3 linked regions of the Rhinolophus ferrumequinum genome follow. The protein of the gene in region 1 purifies or fractionates together with the protein of each later gene. This does not show direct contact. Links are inferred from orthologs where the notes say so. Each region holds a gene or a part of one and is shown in the gene's direction. Other genes may lie near its edges. The genes, in order: RACGAP1, KIF23 and FAM98A.

Region 1 (7,589 bases):
GGGATGCTTCGGTGAATTGTTAAGACTTATACTAGATGTTGAAGAATGGAACACTTCAGAATAGGAATTCACAGAAAGTCAAAAAAAAAAAAAAGGAGAACTTAGTATACTGAACTGGTAATAATTTTCTGAAAAATAATCATTCAACTCATCCTTTATTTTAGTCTTCATGTTGGACTGAGGATGGTCTATTTACTCTTTCTGCAATTGGATTGCTCATAAGAACATTTGGTTTCAAGATATTCCTTCTGCCTGCCAGTTGTATCGAGGCTTTTGATGTGTGAAACAGAAGCTGGACATTTGGGATGAAGAATTGTTCGGAAATGCTTTCATAAAAGAATCCTATAGTATTAGGACTGTCTTAGGGAATGGTTTTCCTTAGCAGCAGAGAACCTGTATTGTTGATTTCTTGGGGGATCTCTGCATTTAGTGTTTGTGAGAACGTTTTTCATTAAAACTCTCAAGCAACCTTCCATTGCTTTGTCTTACAATATTTAACACCCTTGATACATCTAAAAAAGATGATGTATACATCTCTTAATAACGTTGTTTGTAGTGGGAGGAAGAAGATAGAGACTTCCCCCAGGATACTCTGCAGTGAAGATCTGTAGTAGTCTGTTATTCTGAAGGATGATGTCTGTCTCTTGGCTGGGTGATTGAAATTAAATTGGGGACTCAAAGCAATCACATCGAGCTGAGTGAGACTCTTTCCTGGTGATGCACAATTGCTCCCTTAGGGATACTCACAGATTGGGAATCTGTAACATAGTGACTTCTCCACCTCTGGGGCTTCTCATCAATAACAGCTGAGATTTTGTAGCACCTTTTTGTTTCAAGTGCTCCACAAACTGATTTCCTTGCTCCACACAGGGATCATTTCAGCTTTCCCGAAAGGCAGCTGCCTCTCTAGTGAAAAGTGACAGCTGTTTTACAGCTCCAAAGCAATGTACTACAATATGACTTTGTTTTTGTTTCCTTTCACATTAGTGTATCTCCTAGCTATGGAGCTAAATAATAAAGGGGGAGAAATAAAGAAGTATTCATGAGGTGAAAATGTGACCCAGCAGGAAAATTAAGACCATTTTCAGTTGACATTGAATAGCGTGAGTAACTTTTAACATTTCGAGTTACAATTTGGCTGAGATATCATGGTTAGTACTGATGCAGAGAGCTATTTTTGTCATCTATAAATAATTCCTGAGCGTCAGTTCTATAGAACATTAATAAAAATGCATGATGGTCCCCCAACATATAAAGAGAAGATTCCTGGTGCCTTTTTCGGATTACCTTACATAAACCTATGTTAGAAAGAAAAGTAACTCTTCTCAGATGCTACAAGTCTCGTGTAGAACAACTTGTTAAAGAACCTAGACCTGGTCAAATTTTGCTGTCTCCCCCATTCTTTTTGGTCTGGGTTCCAGCTATGATTTGGTAATCCCTATTCTAGGGTGTAAATAACTATCAGACCAAAGCAAAAACAAAAATTTCATACATGCTATAATACCCTACATTTTATAGTAAGGTTCAATTTATACATTATAAAACTTTTAAACTACATTAATTGATAATATTCTGTGAGGTGAATAGGACAAGTATTACTGTTCCCATTTATAGATGAGTCTCAGAAATTAAGTGACTTACCAAAGGTTATACAACTGGTAAATAGAAGAACTAAAACTATCCCAGCACTTCTTTTAGTCCCCACCTGCCCCCCTTTTCTTAACTGTTCTTTTTGTTTGTATCTGTATCACACATTAATGTTCAGGTAGAATGGGTGTGTGTGTGTGTGTATGTGTGTTCTCTGACTTTTATAAAATATTTTTAAATACTTAGTGTGTGTATGTGTAATACAGTAGTGCCAAATAAACGTAAGGTTTTCCCTCTCACATTTACATGGTAAAGTTAGAGTGCAAGGAGTGTGTGTCTGAGTGCCAACTGAGCAAAGGGGGGTGGGGGGAGATGAGTTGAAGTGAGAGGATGACCTGTCAGTGACAAGGGTTTGGTAAGAGCACATGAGAGAAGAGTCCCCAAGGTTTGGTGATTGTATCTGTGGGAAAGGGACTGACTTAAGGTGATTCTGAGATTTGGAACTGGGTGACCGGGAGAATGATAAAAATAAGGGAATCAAAATTGGGAGTCAGTAGGGTAAGGTCAGTGGGTAGGGTAGTTGACGCTGGACAGTACGTATTGCTTCATGACGGGATACATTGTAGAGGGTGTTATTTTGAGAAATGCGTTGGATGATTCTGTCATTGTGTGAACATCATAAAGTGAGTGCACTTACACACACCAGGGTTTCGTCTATGTCACACGGCCTGTTGCTCCTGGGCGACAAGCCTGCACAGTACGTTAGTACTGAATACTGTAGGCAACTGTACCACGATGGTTAGCATTTGTATGTCTAAACATAGTAATGATACAGTCAAAATACCATGTAAAAGATTAAAAATGGCACACCTGTATAGGGCACTTACCATAAATGGAGCTTGTAGGACTGGAAGTTTCTCTGGGTGAGTCAGAGTGAGTGGGGAGTGAGTGCAGGCCTAAGACGTGACTGTCCACTGCTGCAGACTTTATGACACTGCACACTTAGGCTGCGCTACGTTTATACATTTCCTTCTTCAATAATAACTTAACCTAGCCGACTGTAACTTTTACCTTACGTATATGAGGGGGAAAGATAGAACAGGGTCTGAAAATCAAGCTCAAAATCTCGGGGATGCAAATTGAGAGCTCCAGGATTGGCATTCGCGAGGCTGGGGCTGGCGAGATAAATGGGTGATTTGTCTGTAGAGATGTGATGATTGAAGTGGGGGCATTTGACCTGTTCTTCAGGCGGTTGGAGGGTTGAACTTTCGGCATGTCTGGTGTTGAGAGAGAAGAACAGAAAAATCCATAATCAAATTATTTGTGAAACTCTAAATCTGGAGACTCGGACAGTCTGGACAGTTAGGGCTACCCCTGCTGTTCACAGTACAGCGCTGGGAGTTCAGTGAAACAACGATCTCCTAGCTGCTACGTAGGCGGCAGGTCAGGGGAACAGTGTAGATCAAGGCAGTTCTGTGAGAGAACAGTTATATGAGGAGATGTTCCCAGATAGGTTCTCAGTGTGTCTTTAGAGTTTTCAGAATCTGGTTGTGTTTTCCAGAGAGGACCTCCCCCAACCCTGACTCCAGGGAGTAGTATGCGCCAAACGTTGGAAAGAAGAATAATGGACTAGAGGAACTTGAGAAAATAGGAGGATTTCTTTTAAAGGGGCAAAGGATCAGGTTCTTGTATTGTCATTGAAGACAAAAACTTTCTGAATTTTTTTTTAAACAACTAGTTTTTAGTTGTACTATGAAATTTTCCTTTTCCACATTCTTGGAGAGAGAAGTTTTCCTGTGTACTGAGCTCATTGCCTTGGAATCTCAGAATATAGATGAATGCTGAGATGATAGAAATCAATACCCCATATTAAAAGTGTCTTCCATTTTTACTGGGAGCCCAAGGAAATCATCATTTGAAGAAGCTATGAATGCACTGCTCCTGCGTCTGCCCTATAGCATTTGAGTATATTTGCCTGTTTTGTCATGTTGTTAAATCACGGGCATCTCCATGACTTCCAGATCCAGATCTCTTGCTGCCAGTTGTTTTGTTTTGTTTTTTAAAATATTTTATTGGGGAAGGGGAACAGGAATTTATTGGGGAACAGTGTGTATTTCCAGGACTTTATTGGGGAACAGTGTGTTTTTTCCCAGGACCCATCAGCTCCAAGTCAAGTTGTTGTCCTTTCAATCTTAGTTGCGAGGGCGCAGCTCAGCTCCAAGTCCAGCTGCCGGTTTCAATCTAGTTGAGGGTGGTGGGGGGGCGGGGGGGGGCAGCCCACCATCCCCTGGAGGGAGTCGAACCAGCAACCTATTGTTGAGAGCACGTGCCCTAACCAACCGAGCCATCCGGCCGCCGGGAGCTCAGCAGCAGCTCAGCTCAAGGTGCCGTGTTCAATCTTAGTTGCAGGGGGTGCAGCCCACCATCCCTTGCTGGGCTGAGAGCAAGCACTCTAACCAACTGAGCTATCCAGCCGCCCCTCTTGCTGCCAGTTTTAATCTATTATTTTAGTTGTCTTCTTAGTTTAGAGGAAGATCTTTGTAATACATTTGTTGGTCTGGTTGCTTAGCAGCTTGTTGTGATTATGTAGCTTGGAACAGACACACTGCCATTTGAAAATCTTGGTTTCCGGCCCTGATTCAGGTATATATTGCATCCAAGGTTGGAATTGAAAGCTTTTTTGCTGTTAGAACAATCATCATACAAGTACAAATGAATAATTCTGTAGCATTTAATAGAAAATATCTTTATGTTTATATATTCCTTTGTCCTTTGCAGTTTTTTTTCCTTGCTTGCCCTCACAGCATATGGTACAATCTTACAAACATTGTAAAATCACTAAACCTTCATAAAAGAGTTCTTCAAATCTTATTTAGAGATGAAATAAGAACCTGGACAAGAATGTTGAAGGGGTGATTAGGCGAAACCTGAGAAGAATCCTTGAATGGTATTTCTGAGGACATTCAGTTGTTAAATGAAATTTGATGTTTTATTTCATTTCCTTGATAGTTTTTATAACATCCAGTTGATGTCTTTCTTTCTTGACTGTTAAATGAAGGTCTTATTTTCTCAAAGTGTTCCCATTTAATGTCCATTCGGAACTGCCAGTAAGGATACCATTTTTTAATGTAATATCAGCAGGTCTTTGGAGGGGGAAATATGAAGCCTGAAATTCACTATACTGAACACAGTAGCAAATGAGTTTTCCTTTGCCCTCCTAACTGTGAAGGTGGTGTATTGTCTCCTCGATGCCAGAATGTGGCACAACATAAGCCTTTGCCTGTACTTAGTGTAAATGTATTAGACATAGTCCCTGCACGCAGCCCAGCGGAGAGCCGTGCACTACAGAAATAATTCTTGTGCTGCTGAGCTGGCGGTTTCGCCACTTCATCTCTTGTGTGACGTCATCTGTGGTGGTGGTAGGAAATGTGCTGACCATGTCCTGCGTTTTAAAAGACAGATACAACAGGGGTACTAGCTAAAAATGAAATTAAAAAAATAAACCTTTTAGGTTATGTTGAAGGTCTTCAAAGTCCAGAAGGATTCAAGTGGCAGAAGGTGTTGTTAATCAATAAACTTGCCTAAGAACCACATTTTATAGTTGGTCACTTAGTAATCAACTGACCTGCTTATGTCTAATTGCTTTTCTCTCAGCTCCATAGTGATTGTAGAAGGGAGGAAAAGAAGTAGGCAGCAAAGGGGTTATATTCAGAGGTCGGAAATGCTTTTCTAATTTTCAAATGAGTGTTAAACATTCCAACGTTATTTTTACAATAAGGATTACACAAAACATCAATTGTTGGCTTGAGATTCTTATAACGGTAGCTACAAATGGAAGGTCCAGATGTTAGTCACTGGTGACTGGACTGGATTGCTGCTGAATCTTTTGTCTGGGGGAGAAGGCAGGATCCCTAATGTATATTTGATTTCTTGGCAGAAAGATGGATACTGCGATGCTGAATTTGCGGAATCTGTTTGAGCAGCTTGTACGCCGGGTGGAGATTCTCAGTGAAGGAAATGAACTCCGTAAGTCATTCTGAGTTGGCCTGTGTGAAGAGAGGAAACGTATTTCAGAGTTGAGTTTTCTATACAGCTGAAGCGTGTTCCAACCTTAAAACTGTTTTTTATGTGGGTTACTTACAAAGAATGTGATGGTCACTTATCCCTGGTCAAAGCTTAATGGACACTCACTCTAAATAGTCACTTTCTTCTCTAGTTCTTAACTGGGTTTTAGTTAGACTTTTTTCATTATTAAGTTTCTTTTTTCACTAAACAGTTTGCATTAGTTGCCAATTTTTGTACCATGAACTGGGCAAAATCTACTGGATTTCCAGGGATGTTGCTTTTTTCTTTAGTAATTGTCTACATTTTTTATCCTGGGCCTTTTCTGTGTTCTATAGAACATTTTCAGTTGAAGAGGAAAAAAATGTCATAACTTCTTTCGAAGGAGAAACTATTCATCTGCTTTTACCTAGTTCATATATTTGATGTTTAGTAATAAAGGCTTGAGATTGGGTGGAGAGCTGGGGGGAAATGGAGATGGTGAGAAAATAGTCGTCTGGAAAGCAGATTAGTGAAAAACGAAGGTGGGGCTGGTAGCACTGACTTAAGCAATCTATGGGAATGATTATTATTATTATTTTTAAACTTTTATTTATTTAAGTGTGTTTTTCCAGGACCCATCAGCTCCAAGTCAAGTAGTTGTTTCAATGTAGTTGTGGAGAGCGCAGCTCACAGTGGCCCATGCAGGGATCGAACCGGCAACCTTGTTGTTAAGAGCACCATGCTCTAACCAACGGAGCTAACCGGCTGCCCCAACGGGAATTATTCTTTACCAGCTTCTCTTTGTGCTGCCATCCTCTCCTATTTAAGATTTTCATTAACACCTAATTTAGTAAGTGTTGTTCTTAAGTCAGCCTCATTGATGTAAAAATAAGGCAAGAACTATGTCTTAAACAAAAAATTCCTATAGTGCTTAGTATGGCATCTTGCTTATGCCATTCAATATTTCCTTTAATTTGATTGATGTTTTTAATAGCTCTTATCCACTTACAGGCCTTTCAAAACAGTATTCTATTTTCTCTCTCTAATAGCTGTTGCATGACCCTATCATCTGGTACCAGCTCAGTAACCATGATGGCATACTAATTAGGCTTCTCTCTGAGGTCACATCATCTTAGAAGATGAATTACTTTGCAGTCTAGTGGGGGAAGAGTATTGAACAAGAGATCTGAAAATTCAGGTTCATTCAGCAAATATTTAGTGAGACCCTATCACAGCCTCTAGCACAGGTGGAATGGAGTGCAAGGGGTGACTAAATGGCATCATGGAGAAAAGTAGGGTTTGAATTGAGTCTTAGACACAGGGTAGGATCCCAACAGACAGAAATGAAGAGGACATTTAGGGTCCGGGGAAGAGCCTGAGTGGAGGCCAAAGGGTGAGGGGCTTGAGGAGAATAAGAGGAAGGGGGAGGGACCTAATCAGAGCTGTGCTTTTGGAAGCTTATGCTGGCAGAGGGGGAGGTTGCAGGAAAGGTGGAGGCTGGGAGACTGAGCAGGACATGGTTGTTGGTGCTCAGGAAAGAGGCAACAGGAATCCTAAGTGGGATGGTGGTTGTGAAAATGGAAGTAAGGGGAAATGAGTGGACGAGATTGTGAGAATAAGATCTCTAGGAGGAGGCAGCTGGTAGGAGTGGGGGCAGAGGGCAGAGTCTGAGGTTTGGAGCCTCAGTAACTTGTGCTGGCTTTTAACAGTTATTTCTGTTTGTTTCTCTAGCTGTAACATAGAAATTTAAATGTCTGTTTTCTTTGTGGGAGTGCTGTGAGGATTTGTAGATAAAATGAGATACTAGTTGTGAAGATACTTTGGAAGTAATTATGCCAAAAACTATACAAGATATTTATTTCTATAGATACCCTTATTATATAAGCAAATTTATATCTTCCCATTGTTTTCTGTTATAAAATAGAGGTACATTTTGCCTCCATCTCCAAATCTCCAAC
Region 2 (7,507 bases), on another chromosome or scaffold:
AAAAAAAATGTGTTTGATGATGTAAAATCCACATTCTCAGGACTTCACAAATGAAAAGATGCAGAATATGGAGGCGGGAGCGTTCCTTGGAATTTTATATTTCTAACAAAAGCCTAGGTAATTTTTCATATACGGGAGTTTAAGAAGTGCTGATGTAGTCCAACCTTTTTTTTAAATGTAATTTCAAACTTACAAAAATGTTGCCCCAAATAGTACAACGAATCCCCAGATACTTTTTACCCTTCCTCATTTCAATATTTATATACCTCTTCTCTAACAGGGAAAAACTTGGCTTCATTATCCACAATGTATTTACTTACTTGCTCAATCCTAGGGTGTACACAATGTTATTTCAAAATCACTAACCCCTGTCTGAAAAAAGCCTACTAATTAGAATTCAATATATGTTTCCGTTCTTTTTGTCTTGAGCTTGAGGGCACATAGTCTAAATAGTTTTAATTACTTGGGTTAGTTATAGCCTCCTTTCTATATCAGTATGTTATTCATTTGAAATAAGGTTCGGATCATTTGTTTCTTTTTGTATCAATTTTACAGTTCCCCCCGAAGCTTGTTGATTTTATTCATTTTTTAATATAAAACATTAACATCCAATCATTCGTTTTACAAAGAGCCTGGGAATGTGAGATGATGTTTCCAAGGCCACTGAGTGAACAGCAGGGCCAGGGAGAGGCCTCTCTCCCTGGGTGTTGAGTGTGTTGGGTGTCCCAGCTCCCACAGCAGTCCTGTCTCCATTTTACCACCTTCCCTCAAACATTCTGGGCTTTGGTAGGTTCTGGTCAATGGTGTTGATTTGGTTTCCATAGCTGGACTTGCTTAGTTAGGTGCTTGAATTAATAATGGTTTCAAATCTGTGTAGTGTTAGCTCCTTCTCAGTGATTTACATAAGACCTTCACAGTCCAGTTTGGCAGTTTCTTATAAAGCTAAACTTACACTTAGCACAACACCAGCAATCCCACCCAAGAGAAATGAAAACACATGTCTAAATAAAGGCCTTTATACAAATAATTATACCAGTTTCATTCATAATCGCCAAAAAGTGGAAACAACCTAAACTCTATGAACTAATGAATGGATAAATTGTCATGCAGTCAGTCATACAATAGAAAACTACTAAGCAATAAAAAAGGGAACACATTACTGGTTCATGCAACACATGGATAAATCTCAAAACTATTATGCTGAGTCAAATAAGAGACATTCTGGAAAAGACAAAACTCAAAGGAAGTCAGAAAAGTGGTTGCCAAGAGCTGGGAGTAGAGGACGGTGGTTGACTACAAAGGGGACAGCACACAAGAATTTTTGTGTGATGGGAATATTATGCATTTGATTGTGGCGGTGGTTACAGGATGGTGTGTGTTTGTCAAATACATAGACGGTACAACTAAATGGTTAATTTTACTCAATAAAATTATACCTCAATAAAGCTATTTTTTGTTGTTTTTTAAACAGGCCTCCCAGTTCTACTCTTTCTCTCTCCTATTCTTACCTCTAGTCTGGATCTCTACTTCTAATGGGAAAAGCAATCTTTTACTGGTTGTGGGGAGCCTTTGGGGTGGGGGAAGAGATTAGAATGTATTAGGTGTGAAGTGCCTGTGGGACAGCCAGAAAAACAATATAATGAATTGGCATTTTAAAGAAAATTAATAAGCCAGGGAGCTTAATATGCACAGAAATGAGGGAGAAAGAAGAAATGGGCCTGAACAAAAACTGGGGGTGTTGTGATGTAACTGGGTCCTTGACTGGGGTGTTCTCTAAAGGGATGGATTCATTCATTCCTTCTAAACATTTATATAGTACTTCCATTGTTGGGCACTGGGGATGCAATAGTGCCATCTAGTGAGGCTGTGGGCACAAGCTGGAGAGGACACTGCAAATTGAGATGTGAGCTTTACAGCAAATCAACAGGTGCAGTGACTGGGGGAGTGCAGGGGACTGTGGATATAGAGCAGGGGACCAGCATCCAGAGCAGGGTTGGTGGCAGAAGACCTGCTAAGAACTGAGGATAAGGAGGCATTGTCTGACGAGGGAGGGAGGAGAGCTTGACAGCAGAGGGAATGGTGTGTGAGTGTGAGCCCACTGTGTGCAGGGCACTGAAGGTCAATTTGGCTGGGGGAAAGGGGGGCTGCAGGAGTTAATGATAGGTGATGAGCTTGGAGAGGAAGAGACTTGGGACCTTGTGAGAGTTTCCAGCAATGGAAAGCTACTGCAGTGTTATAAGCAGGGGTGTGACATTATCAGATATGTGATTTAGAGGTGAGCTGGCTGCAAAATGGAGCCAGGATTGGAGGGTAGCAGCAGAGAGGCTTGTTATGATACTGTTGCAGTCATCCAGATGAGAAATAGTAGTGACCAAGGGGCTGGAGAGAAGTGGAGAGGTTTGAAGGCTATTAGTACTGTCAAGATTTGGTGATTGAATGTTGGAGTAGAAGGGGAGGCAAAAGTCAAACATGGTACCTTGGACTCTGGTTTGGGTGGCTGGGTAGATGGTGATGCCATCCACTGGCAGGGAGCAGGTTCAGGGGAAGAGATTAAGATGTGTTAGGTGTGAGGTGCCTGTGGGACACCCAAGTGGAGAATCCAGAAGGCAGTTGGATAATAAGGGTATGCAAGGGTCAATTAGATTTGGCATCAAGAAGGTGGTGATCTTGGTGAGAAGAGCTCCAATGGAGAGACTGAGGCCAAAGCCAGACTGAAGAGTCACTAAGAGTTAAGTATTAAGTAGCCAGCAGCCAAGCCCAATTCCTAAATGATACAGATCCCAACTACTTAACAAACAAATTTCTAATGGTTCAAAGACTTAAACATAAAAACAAAGGAATAAGAGCACTATAAAATATAAGATATTTTTAAAAATTATCTCAGAGTGGGGAAGACTTCTTAGTGTGATACAAAACGAAACATAAAAGACATAAATTTGGTTAAGCTGTCACAAAACAACATAAAGTAAAAACCAAATTATGAGCTATAAAAATATTTGAACTCATATTGGGTGAGGACCAATTTTCTTAATATATGAAGAGCTTTTATAAATCAATAAGAAAAATGAACAACTCAATAGAACAAGAAGGCAAAGGCATAGTTCATAGAGAAGGAAACAAATGGCTCTTTAATATATGAACAGACACCCAACTTCATTCATTATAAAAGATTATTTAAACCACATTGTGATTTTTTTTCACCTATTAGATCAACTTTGTTGTCTGAGAATTGTGGCGAAACAGGTACTCTCATACATGGCTGGTGGGATTTTGTATTCGGACAACCTGTATAGAGGACAATTTGGCAATATCTGTGAAGCATGAATGCATATACTCTGACTCAGCAATTATGCTTCTAGGAATTCATCATCCAGATTTACTTGCATTGTGCAAAATGATTAATTCCAAGCTTATTCACTGTAACTGTGTAATAGCAAATATTGGAACCATCTTTATGTCAAACTAAGGATATAAAAGTATGTCTAGGGCCGGCCCAGTGGGGGAAGGCTGCCGATTGGATTCCCACATGGGCCAGTGGGCTCTCAACCACAAGGCTGCTGGTTTGACTCCCACAAGGGATGGTGGGCTGCGCCCCCTGCAACTAGCAACGGGCAACTGGACCTGGAGCTGAACTGTGCCCTCCACAACTAAGATTGAAAGGACAACAACTTGACTTGGAAAAATATCCTGGAAGTACACACTTCCCCTGCCCCAATAAAATCTTTAAAATAAATAAATAAATAAAGTATGTCTATCCTTACTGGTGTCTATCCTTATTGGTGTCTGGTCCAGTAGGAAGTTGAGGAGCTGTGACTAGAGTTCCATGAGAGCACAGATGCAGATGCATTATTTGATAATCATCAATTTAGGGGCAAAGTTCAAAGAGAGACAGAATCAGTTCATCTTAGAAAAGAGGCGTCTGGTCAAGGCAAAGACCAAATTTTATTTGTCTCTGTATGCTCAGGATTAAACATTGCTAAGAATCTGATATAACAATGAAATCTACAGGCAAGAGCTGAAGAAACCAGAGAGGGAAAACCCGGGAAATGTGAAGAAGAGAGAGAGAAAGGAAGCCAAGATGATATGATTTGGAAGCCAGAGAGGGAGTCTGAGACTGAGCATCACACAGCACAAGAATAGGACACTCGTGGGCCAGAACGATAGTGTTGACTTATGAATCAATTCTGGACCTGGTACTCCATTGGACTTCTTGTGTTGTGGGAAAATTAACCCTCAATTTCCTCATCGGAAATGGAAAGCGTTGTATTTCATGTTGAAATCTGGGTTACAGCCCCGCAGCAAAGACACCCAGACTCTCCGCGCCTTTTCCGCGTCGGTCGCCTAGGAGACGAACGCCACTTCCGGCAGAATAGTCTCTTCTTCGGAGGCCCCGCCCCTCCCCCGGGCGTGCGCTGATTGGCCTGTTTGAAATGCGCCGGGCGCGAGCGCACCTGGTCTTGTCTCGGCACCGCAGTGTTTGAGCGCCGTCCCTCAGCTGCCGTGTGCCGGTCCCCACGGCTGCTCTCTGCGACCCGCAGTCCTCGCCAGCCCTCCTCATCTAGCCCGGCGTCCCGCGCGCGTGTCTGGGCAGCGCAGAGCCTGCTGCCATGAAGCCAGCGTGAGTACGGGGCGGCGGAGCCCCGGCCGGGCCTCGGTGCTGGGTGGGCGTCTCTTCAAGCCGCCCCCCGCAGGGGGCCGAGCAGTCTGCACGGAGCCCGGCGCTGCCCGGGCCGCAGCCCCCAAAGTGGGAGTCCGCACGTGGACCGCTCAGGGGGAGCCACGGCGCCGAGACCCAGCCGGGTCGATCCCGGACCCCGAGCCCGGCGCCTGCCGCTCTGCTCCGGGCTCTCGCGGCCTGGAGAGGTTGGCCCCAAGTCGGGGGAGGTTTCTGCCACCACGCCGGTTCCCGTTAGCTGGTTGCCATTCAGCTCGCTCGCCATTCAGCTGGCTCCCGGACGCCTCCGGCAACATTTTCTTAAGTTCTCCCTTTCGCTGTGGGCCGCCCGCGCTCCAGGTTGCGTTTTGCCGAGTTAGTGCGAGGTCGTGTCGCAGGTGGGGCGGAGTGTTGGGGTCTGGTATTGGGGTTCGTTAGGTGGTCTCAGGCCCTGGAGAGCCCTGGCAGTCGTGAGCATTGCGTGTTTTGTTAGCCCACTCCGTGGCCTGGAGGCCGAGACCATCCCATTGTATAGGCTGATTACTGTTGCCCTATTCTTTGACCGCCCACATTCCTTACTAAATCCAGTACATTTTCCGCGAAGCATAATTCCTTGACCGCTACTGCGTAAAGAAATAGTTTTGCACCGAAGAGGGTTGACTGTAATTATAATTATCTTGTAGCTACTCGTTTGCAAAAGGCTACTTGTTTTCTTAAGAGGCCACAGTCAAAATCTTTTTTTTTTAAAGTGTTGAATTGAAATAAACCTATCATAATATTTTGCACTTAAAACACCAGTTTGCTTCTGTTTCATGGGAAAATGTTGAGAAACTATTTTAATAATCTATGGTCCAAGCCAATAATTTAACTTAACTTTAGTGTTAAATGTTCATCCAGCCTATAGGTAAATTGGGGTCGGGGTGGGGAAGCATGCCAGAGAATTGGTGAAATAAATCACAACAATCTTCTTTTACTGTACCTACTGATAAAAAATAAAATTCAACTGAGTAAATTTTAAAAATCTTACTGCCTTTATTCGACAATTCATAAGTCGGGCAGCATCCCATTTAGCAATAGAAAGATCTGAGTTGCTGTACAAAAGGGGAGACTTTTATAGGCACAAGGGGGCAGGAACAAGCAAAGAGCCCATTGTTTCAGGCAAGGGCACCTTCCTTTGGTGACCACGGGGGTCTATGAGGTGGATTACCTCATTAGTGCTAACCAGGAAATTCCATACCGACTGACTGAGATTACATTGCTGGGAGAGACTGAAACTGCAATTAGATTATTATTAAACCTTGTTTTGGTGATGTGGGCTTAGACAGTGACTCCATTTGGGGCCTGTTCCCCCTTTTTTTTAACACTAAAGAGAGCAAGAAATTGCAGTTTAGGGACCACATTTTGTTTGGGGTAGGATGGTAGGTTTTGAGAATTCAATAACCAATTCCTTGAAAGTATAGATGTAAATCTTGATAAAAGAATGGGCTCATCCATCTGCATTCTTTATAATTTTATTGAAGTTAATCACTTGTCAGTCTACCTTGGCAATGGCTGTTGGTGCAGTGTGTACTTGTACACACGTAAATGTCTTTCAAGATAAGTGTAGTCAATTATCTGTAGATTTTTCAAACTTGTAGTACCTGTGTAAAATTGTTGCTCAAGAAAATATCCAAGCTATTTTAATATAGAATAAGTGGGTACCAGCCGGCCTGGTGGCTTAGGCAGTTGGAGCTCTGTGCTCCTAACGCCGAAGGCTGCCAGTTCATTCCTGCATGGGCCAGTGGGCTCTCAACCACGAGGTTGCCGGTTCAACTCCAGCAAGGGATGGTGGGCTGCGCCCCCTGCAATTAACAATGGCAACTGGACCTGGAGCTGAGCTGCGCCCTCCACAACTAAGATTGAAAGGACAACAACTTAACTTGGAAAAAGCCCTGGAAGTACACACTGTTCCCCAATAAAGTCCTGTCCCCCTTCCTTCGCCCCCCCAAAAAAATCTAAAAAGAGCAAATTTAGAGTAAGTGGGTACCATAAATGTCTCTTAAACCAAATTTCAATTACTTTTGGATTATGCATACCATAGACACTCTTATACTAATGAAATTTATTCTTATTCGTGTTAGTTATTTAGGGTTTAGTGTTTTGGAACTGCTAAGGAATAATTTTATAAAAGCCCAGGAAGTTTGTCTCTGTGTAAATTATAGGTGAAGTTTTTGTATGTTAGTGTTGAAGTGAAATTTTTTTTTTTTTTTTTTAAATCTATGTCTAGGAGGAGTAAGACGCCCAGGAAACTTGTAGTGAAAAAAGGATCCCAAACGAGTCTTAAAGATCCAGTTGGGGTAAGGTCTCCCTGTAAATTTATGTGTGTGTATTTTCTCTTCATTCCTTTTATGTCTTATGTGTACCCTTAGAAGGGATGGAGATGTGGAAGTGGAGTCAAAGAACATTTAGTTAAAAAGATTGTACTAAATTGCTTAAGGCTAGTTCGAGCTTTGAAATTTTGTTTCTATGTTGGATTCATTAGTCCAGTAAAATGAAGTTTTTGGTTGTTGATTGCATACTTCTTATAACTAATTATAATTTGAAAAGTGAGATAATGAAAAATCTTCAACTGTCCCAGAGAATTCTTCGTGCTCTCTGAGACAGGGGAAAGCTTTCTGCTTGGATGAGCGTCCTCTCCCATCTTTAGGACTATTCAGCCCTAACTGATGGCATCCTTCATGAGGAAAGCCCCAAACTCCATGCTTTTGGGGACCAAGTTTCATTAAGACTTTGATGTAGAACTGTTAATTCAGTCTAATGACTACTCATAATTGCATGTACTTCACTAGGTTCAGGCTTGGGAATTTGCTTTAA
Region 3 (7,518 bases), on another chromosome or scaffold:
CTGTTGCATACTTTTTCATTCCCTGTGAAGAATCACTTTATTCTTTCAGAAGAAAGCAAAATCTGGTCAAGAGAAAGGAAACATTTTCTTGTCAATCAACTAATCAACAATTTTATGCCTAGTGTGTATGCATCAATGTACTAAGCAATATGTAGGATGTGCAAGGTTTTATAGCAACTGAATAGAAAAGGTCAGAACCTATTAAGTCACATAAAAATATAACATTAATAAATGTTAGATTTTGAAGGACTAATTACGAAACCATCAGAGGCAGAGCCCAGGAATCTGAATTTAACTCCCCCACATGATTATGACAATCAAGTAGGCACTGCTATATTAGCAGTAGGAAAATTAATTTTAACCAGCACACTCAGGGAACACATTCTTGTGGAACGGTGAAACTGATCTAAGCCTTGAGGATGAGATAGAACGGAAGCAAAGCAGCAGAGAGAACAAAGGGTATCTGTGGACTGGCCTGGAACAGGAATGTTATCTGGGAAGAAGTGTTAAGGAAGCTTTGGGAGATAAAGGATGAGTGCCTCAGGCAGTCGGAGAAGGTTTCCCCCAAACTCAGTCTTAAAGATTGGGCAGGGGGAAACTGCCAGACAGAGAATGAAGGAAAGGGGATTCCAGGCTGAAAAAAACAACTTGTCCAAAAGTATACAGGCATAGAAGAGCAAGGTGTGTTAAGTGAATAGTAGAAGTTTCATGTGACTAGTGAAGATCAGAATATGCCATCCCAAATATGACACTTCGGCATATGGATTATTTAGAGCCGAAGGCAATTGAGAATCAATAGAAGTCTGGAGGACAAGCAGGAAAACAGAGAATCAACTTTGGCAAGTCTTCTCAGAGCTTCCATTATCTGACAAAAAGCAGAAACTTCTGATAATGAAGAAAGTTGGCTTCGAAAGGAGTCTGCACAGACAAACCTTATAAAAATAACCCTTGTCTTCCATTAGTTTCCCCATACATGTATCTTCCCACAATTTACCACCCCTAGATGCTTAAAACCCCTTTCATTGTTTAGTCACTTCTCCACAATTTATCACTCTTTGTTAAAATGGTTTATAAACTCTCAAGTCTTAACTACATCTTTGGGGTTTTCATGTCTTTTCTGTGAAACATTACAAAAGTCATAACATCAATAAAAATTTGTATGCTTTTTCTTCTGTTAATCTTTGTCAGTTTAACTCCCACAACTCTTAGACTGATATGAATGCTAGTTTATCACCTCTGGGCCAGAGTCTAGTAAACTCTTACTGCACCCAAATTAGACCAGTGTTTATCTGGTTCACTATGTGCCTGATTCACAGGTTGGCAGAACATGGCCCAGTAGGCTTAAGCTGGGCTGGACAAACAAATCAAGTTTGGAGCTTTTATTCTAGAAATATTTGTTTATATCTATATCTCTAATCATCTGTATATCTTTATCCATATCTATACCTCTTCCTCAAGTTAAACATAGGCAAGATACTGTTCTCAAATTTTGTAAATCTCTAAAAATTGCCTGGGTTCAGAAAATATACTAACATCACTAGAGGCGTGATCTAAAAAACAGCATTATTTAGTGATATAAGGGTATTTGAGACCCTTCAAGATTAATTCTACATACCAATATTTAGACAGAAAAAAAGGACTATTTTCAGCGAGCAAGCTGAAAAGACTTTATTTAGTAGCATATACAAATCTTATTTCATGCAACATGAGCAAATCTATGGTTTTTCTCATTTTCTCCTTGTTGGAGGGCCATTCTAAAGGCAAATTCATTAAAACTGGGAAATGCTGCTATTTTTCAGCCTCTTTTATCTGAGAAAGAAAAATTATTTTAGGTGCTTATTTAATCAAGATTTAGAAACCGTTCTATGACAAATGACAAACCTTATGTTCAAATATACACCTACTTCATTGCCGTTATAAAAATTACCCTTCTATACGTTTTATAAATAACTTTCTTAAGACTCTCAGCTGCATAAATTTAACTACATAATTCAAAATTTCTCTTATAATAACCTTTAAGGTTATGACATAAAAAGATGCTCGTCTGAAAATTGATATCAGTTTTCATTTCAATTTTCTCCTCTATATTTTTTCAGTAGTATAAACTATGACTTCACTTTACTCTTTTCAAGACCAGAAAAGGCTGGTCTTTAAGATCATTCATGATTTCGAGTTGAACATCTTCAACACAGAAAAAACTCATCTCTCAAAGATACCTGATGTACAGATGGCCAACAGACATATGAAAAGATGCTCAACATCACTAATCATCAGTGAAAGGCAAACAAAAACTACAATGAGCTATCACTTCACACCAGTTAGAATGGTTATCATCAACAAGACAATTAATAACAAGTGTTGGAGAGGCTGTGGATAAAAAGGAACCCTCCTACACTGTTGGTGGGAATGCAGATTGGTGCAGCTGCTATGGAAGGCAGTGTGGAGAGTCCTCAAAAAATTAAGAATAGAATTACCATATGACCCAGCAATCCCTCTCCTGGCTATATACCCAAAAACTCTGAAAACATTTATCCATAAAGATATATGTGCTCCGATGTTCATTGCAGCTTTATTTACAGTGGCCAAGACATGGAAACAACCAAAGTGTCCTTCGACAGATGATTGGATAAAGAAAATGTGGTATATATACACAATGGAATGCTATTCTGCCATAAGAAAAGGTGAAACAGTGCCATTTGCAATAACATGGATGGATATTTAGATTATTATGCTAAGTGAAATAAGTCAGACAGAAAAAATCGAGAACCATCTGATTTCACTGATATGTAAGATATAAAACTGAAAACAACAAAGGAACAAGACAAATAAAGAAACAAAACTCATAGACACAAACAATATTTTAGTGGTTACCAGAGGGAAAGGGAGGAGGGTGGTGGTAGATGAGGGTAAAAGCGATCAAATATATGGTGATGGAAGGAGAAATGATCGCCACTTGTTCACTAATAATAGTATATGTTACAACTTACACGGAAAAGTGAACCTTTGTTTTCTCAAATTGATTGTGAATTAAGCCTTACTTTTTATTTAGCACATTAGACAACCTTATGAGAACAAATGATTATTCCATTTTTATTATAAGGTAATTATGTACAACATATATAAGCTGAAACAAATTCAACTAGCTTGATCTTCCTATCTTTTCACGTCCTGCTTATAAAACCTTATTTGACTAGTCAAATGAGAAGGAATATTGATTCAGATATGCCTCAGTCTCAAAATACAGTCCGTACTGGTCTTACCATTTTCACAGATCATGAAGCCACTGAGCCTGTGTCCTAATCTGTAAAATGCGAGTAATACATACACAGCCCTATGATGATTGCATAAAACAATATGGATCACGGGAGTAATACCATGTCAAGCACACTTTGGCTACATTATAAATGTTAACTCCTTCCCCCACTCTAGATGATGCAAAATAAGGAAATAAAAAAAAAGGTATAGGGGGCATTTATCCATTCGACATGAAAATGTTTGAGAACCGCAAAATAAAATCTACTGGTACCAATGTGAAAACGAATTAAATGCCTACACAATACATTATGTCAATTTGTGTTAAATAGAATTCTCTAAATATGTCCTCACTTAGAAAACATTTTTTTTCATTTTTAATAACTTCTAAGCATATACCCAACCAACAACTGCCAAGAAATCATAACCCCTCGTGAACTGAACGTCACACCCAACCAAATAATGTCAAAAGCAATTGCATTACAAATTAAAAGTTTATTCACTATTAAATATATTCTATTTAATACAGAGTGAAGCCCTCCTCTGTCGGCCCTCCTCCCTCTCCTCCCCCCAAAATAAGATGCTTAGTCTGGGAAGGGCTTAAGAAGAATGCAAAGGGGCGAACGCAACAACTTCCCCAATGCGTCCAAGTCAAAAGAAAGTTGACTCCTCCCTCATCCTGAAATACAGCCACTGCAGCCACAAGGATACCAAAAGGCATGTTATCTGCCCGTCTCAGCACTTGGTCGGTCTACCCGTCCTAAGGAATTAAACCGGAGCTCATGAATTTTCCGTCTCTTCAGGACCCACAGCTAAGGCTAGACTACGCTGGCAGGCTGCAGACAGCCACTCGGGCTACTCCTTGGGACGCAGAGACTGTTTCACAGCCAACACCCACCCATATCTAGAGACCCCCAAGCTCCTACCCCGCCCTCCTCTCCCCAAGATTCGCACATGCGTACACCCAATTTAGAGAGAGGTTAGAACTTTCCTCCCTCTCCTGGTCCCCACGCCCTGCTGCCACGCAGCCAGTCCTCCTGCCCTTCTTTGGGCAGCCGGCGTCACTATTCAGTAATACGCATGTGCAGCATTGTGCCACCCGGTAATCTTTCCTCCCGCAGGGGTGGGGAAGCAGGCGGGACTAAGTTTGTTGCGCACGCTCGGGACATGCGCAGTGCGGGCACTGAGGCGCCAGCTGTCGATTTGGAAGTTCCGGGGAGGCAGCGCATGCGTGAGTGTACGCGTTGCCGGCGAAGAGGGGAGCCTGACGACTCGGAAATTTGAATACCACAGTAGCATGGAGTGTGACCTCATGGAGACTGACATCTTGGAGTCGTTGGAAGATCTCGGGTAAGACTGCCAGGGCATGGGGTCTCCCAAAACCCCCAGTGCCGGTCCCCGGGGAACACCTCCTGCGCCCTAGTCGGAGACACCTGTCTCTCCACACCGCACCCCGTGGCTCCTGGCTTTCGCCCCCTGCGGCTCCGGGACCCCAGTGCCACGTCCACTCTCTGCCCTACCGGGTCGGAGCCCTACACATGCGACGCCCCTAGGCCTTTTCTGTGCTCCCTGCAGCCGAGTTCCCCGCAGCGTTTGTCAGTCATGCGTGTCATTGTCTGGGCTCTGGTGTTCGCCACCCCCCTCCCTGAGCTTCTCTCCTTGCTTGCTCCCCATCCTCCTGCCCTATGTCCTCACCCTAGAGGTTGCCAAAGTTGATTCTGTGTTTTCCTGCTTGTCCTCCAAACTTTCTACTCCTGTCTTGAGCCCCTACTCCTACCTCACCCCACTTCTTTCAAAAAAATCTCCTTTGCCCAGTCATCTCTGCATGCACCCAGCCACATGTCTGTGCAGCTGCATCCGTCCCGCCAGCCAGCTCACTCGTGCTCCGAACCTGTCACGTCCATGGGAACCACTGGCAGTTTCCCTTGACTGGGACTCTCTGCTTCTCTGAGCCGTTATTGTTAGTAGCCCTTACCCTTAGGGTCATCTTCACCCCCAAGTCCCTGCATATTTGTTGTGCATTTTGTCTCTCCTCCTGACAGTTATGGTTGGATAATCACAATTCATACCTAGAAGCTGAAAATAGGGCTTCTTATTGCATTGGGTCACCCAGATCAGTGTACTCGATTAAAACTTGAAAACTTAAGAACCTCTTGGGCTAAACGTGCTTCCAGAAACAAAGTGTATGATTAAATATTTGTCTATAGGTATGGGTCAAAAAATGACAGACTTAGCTGGCTGTCATTATAAAATAACATGTCCTTTATCAAAACCTTTCCCTCGGCTTTTGTATAACATGGAAACGTTTGAGGGAAACCTTTAGGAAAGGACACTGGGAGGGTTCCCAAAGTCTGGCCCGGTAGAAGTTTTTAGATGAGAGTACTCATCACCCTTCTTTGTCAAAGTGAATTACCGTTGTTCTTTTGTCGGCACTTGCTCTGAATTTTCATGAATATTCCAGACTTTAAGGGACTTATTTCTTCCATTAGAGCGTAAGTAAAAGTCACATTCAGCAAAGTGGCCTCTTTTGGTGGACATCTCCGACTAAATACTTGCTCACACATGAATCTATTCATTCAGTAAATATTTTTGAGGAATGCTTGTTCTGCGGCAGTGTTGGGCTGAGCATTTATGAATACAAAGTGAGGTGAAAGAGAGGTTCACACCATGGGACAATTTGGGGAGAGCCCCTTTACTGCAATAGGAAGTCCTAGAAGCTTCTTAGAAGTGATACTTGAGTGTTGAAAGAGCAGTAGGATGAGAGGACAAGGTAGACCTTATTTAAATGCAGTTGTTCTGCGTAGATAGAGGTCACCTAACAATTGGTGATGGATACTGTTTCTTCCCTGTAGAATAAACTAACAAAATCTAAATATGTAACACGAGAAATTTCTAGGCCTACTCTCTGCATCCCAGTGTCTAATAATGTGCGGTTTTGAATTTAGATGCCAAGAGTATATATAATCTAATTTTTGTGCAACACTTTCCACTCCATTCAATGTGTAAACATGTAATTGTATTTTAAAAGGATTGAGTATTGTCATTTCTCTAACAACTCTGTACCTCAAAACATTGAATTATCTAAAGCACGTTTCATATATCATCTTTAATAGCTGTTTATTAGTATTTCATTTAAAAGAAGATAATTTTCTGGAGAATATATATTTTAAAATTACTTTGAAAATGACGAAATCTTTAATTCTAGCCATATTCTAGATTGGGGTTCATTATTACTATTGTCTTTTATGATTGTTTGAATGTTTAATAATTTTTTAGAATTACATTTGAATTACTTACAAAAGATTCGGATTCATTTGTACCAGTTCACCCTAACATCAACTCGCCAGAAATTATTAAATCAATCTTGACATTTCTCTGGTACTAGTATATCTTACTAGTCTTAACTCATTAAATATAGAAAAAATAAATAAATGATTAATTTGAAAATTTTTGTTTTTAAAGAAGGTTATTAAAAACCTAATTTATTTTTGGAAAAACATCTAGAAAAGATAACCTAAATTTTTTTTTATTTCTGAAATAATAAACTATAGTATAACTAGCTATCACTTATTAAATCTGGTTTTAATACTCAGTTCAGTTAAAGTAAGAAAATAAAACTTTGTACATAAGAGTTGTCAGTAAATGTATAGAAGTTGATATAATTTAGTATATTTGATTCTATTAAACATTCACATATCTTTTGAAGGGTTGAAATACAGTTACCACTTACCTTGTTTTTCTAATGGTTTAGTGTAGTTCTAAATTTTATTTGTATTTACAAGTTTAGAAATTGGTCATCACAACTTATTGTTATTAAACTATTGCTTACTTATACAAATAATACATAGATATATTGTGTCTAATATATTAGGTGTGATTTTATGTTTTTCTGAACTGTGATTTCTTAACTCACCAGTTACAAGGGTCCATTGTTAGAAGATGGCGCTCTGTCTCAGGCAGTCTCTGCTGGAGCCAGTTCCCCTGAGTTTACCAAACTCTGTGCTTGGCTGGTGTCTGAATTAAGAGTGCTCTGTAAACTGGAGGAAAATGTGCAAGCAACTAACAGTAAGTAAACATTCAGTTTTAGATGCAAAATATACAAATAAAATTGAGGCATTATCAGTTGAACATTTATCAGTACTAAAGCTAAAATTTCAAATTCTATCTAAATATAAAAAAAAAAATTGTAAGAAACCAAATACTTTTTTTGTCTCCATTGTTTTTAGAGAAAGGTGATTCGGAAGTTGAAAAACCAAAATATAGTCA

The links.
Region 2: the proteins of RACGAP1 (region 1) and KIF23 purify together in Homo sapiens (co-immunoprecipitation; 10 studies listed by BioGRID and IntAct, counting the BioPlex papers as one, with this or other methods). This does not show direct contact. The link is inferred for Rhinolophus ferrumequinum from reciprocal best matches to the Homo sapiens genes RACGAP1 and KIF23.
Region 3: the proteins of RACGAP1 (region 1) and FAM98A purify together in Homo sapiens (co-immunoprecipitation; 3 studies listed by BioGRID and IntAct, with this or other methods). This does not show direct contact. The link is inferred for Rhinolophus ferrumequinum from reciprocal best matches to the Homo sapiens genes RACGAP1 and FAM98A.

The regions. Positions count from the first base shown.
Region 1 is NC_046293.1:50,834,175-50,841,763, reverse strand, and holds the start of RACGAP1 (rac GTPase-activating protein 1), read left to right. Parts: upstream 1-4,516; 5' UTR 4,517-4,531; coding exon 4,532-4,534; intron 4,535-5,524; exon of another isoform or gene 5,525-5,528; coding exon 5,529-5,613; intron 5,614-7,589.
Region 2 is NC_046289.1:42,207,114-42,214,620, reverse strand, and holds the start of KIF23 (kinesin-like protein KIF23), read left to right. Parts: upstream 1-4,441; 5' UTR 4,442-4,607; coding exon 4,608-4,618; intron 4,619-6,920; coding exon 6,921-6,990; intron 6,991-7,507.
Region 3 is NC_046296.1:48,577,109-48,584,626, forward strand, and holds the start of FAM98A (protein FAM98A), read left to right. Parts: upstream 1-4,439; 5' UTR 4,440-4,549; coding exon 4,550-4,602; intron 4,603-7,168; coding exon 7,169-7,317; intron 7,318-7,518. UniProt on the Homo sapiens protein: Positively stimulates PRMT1-induced protein arginine methylation. Involved in skeletal homeostasis. Positively regulates lysosome peripheral distribution and ruffled border formation in osteoclasts.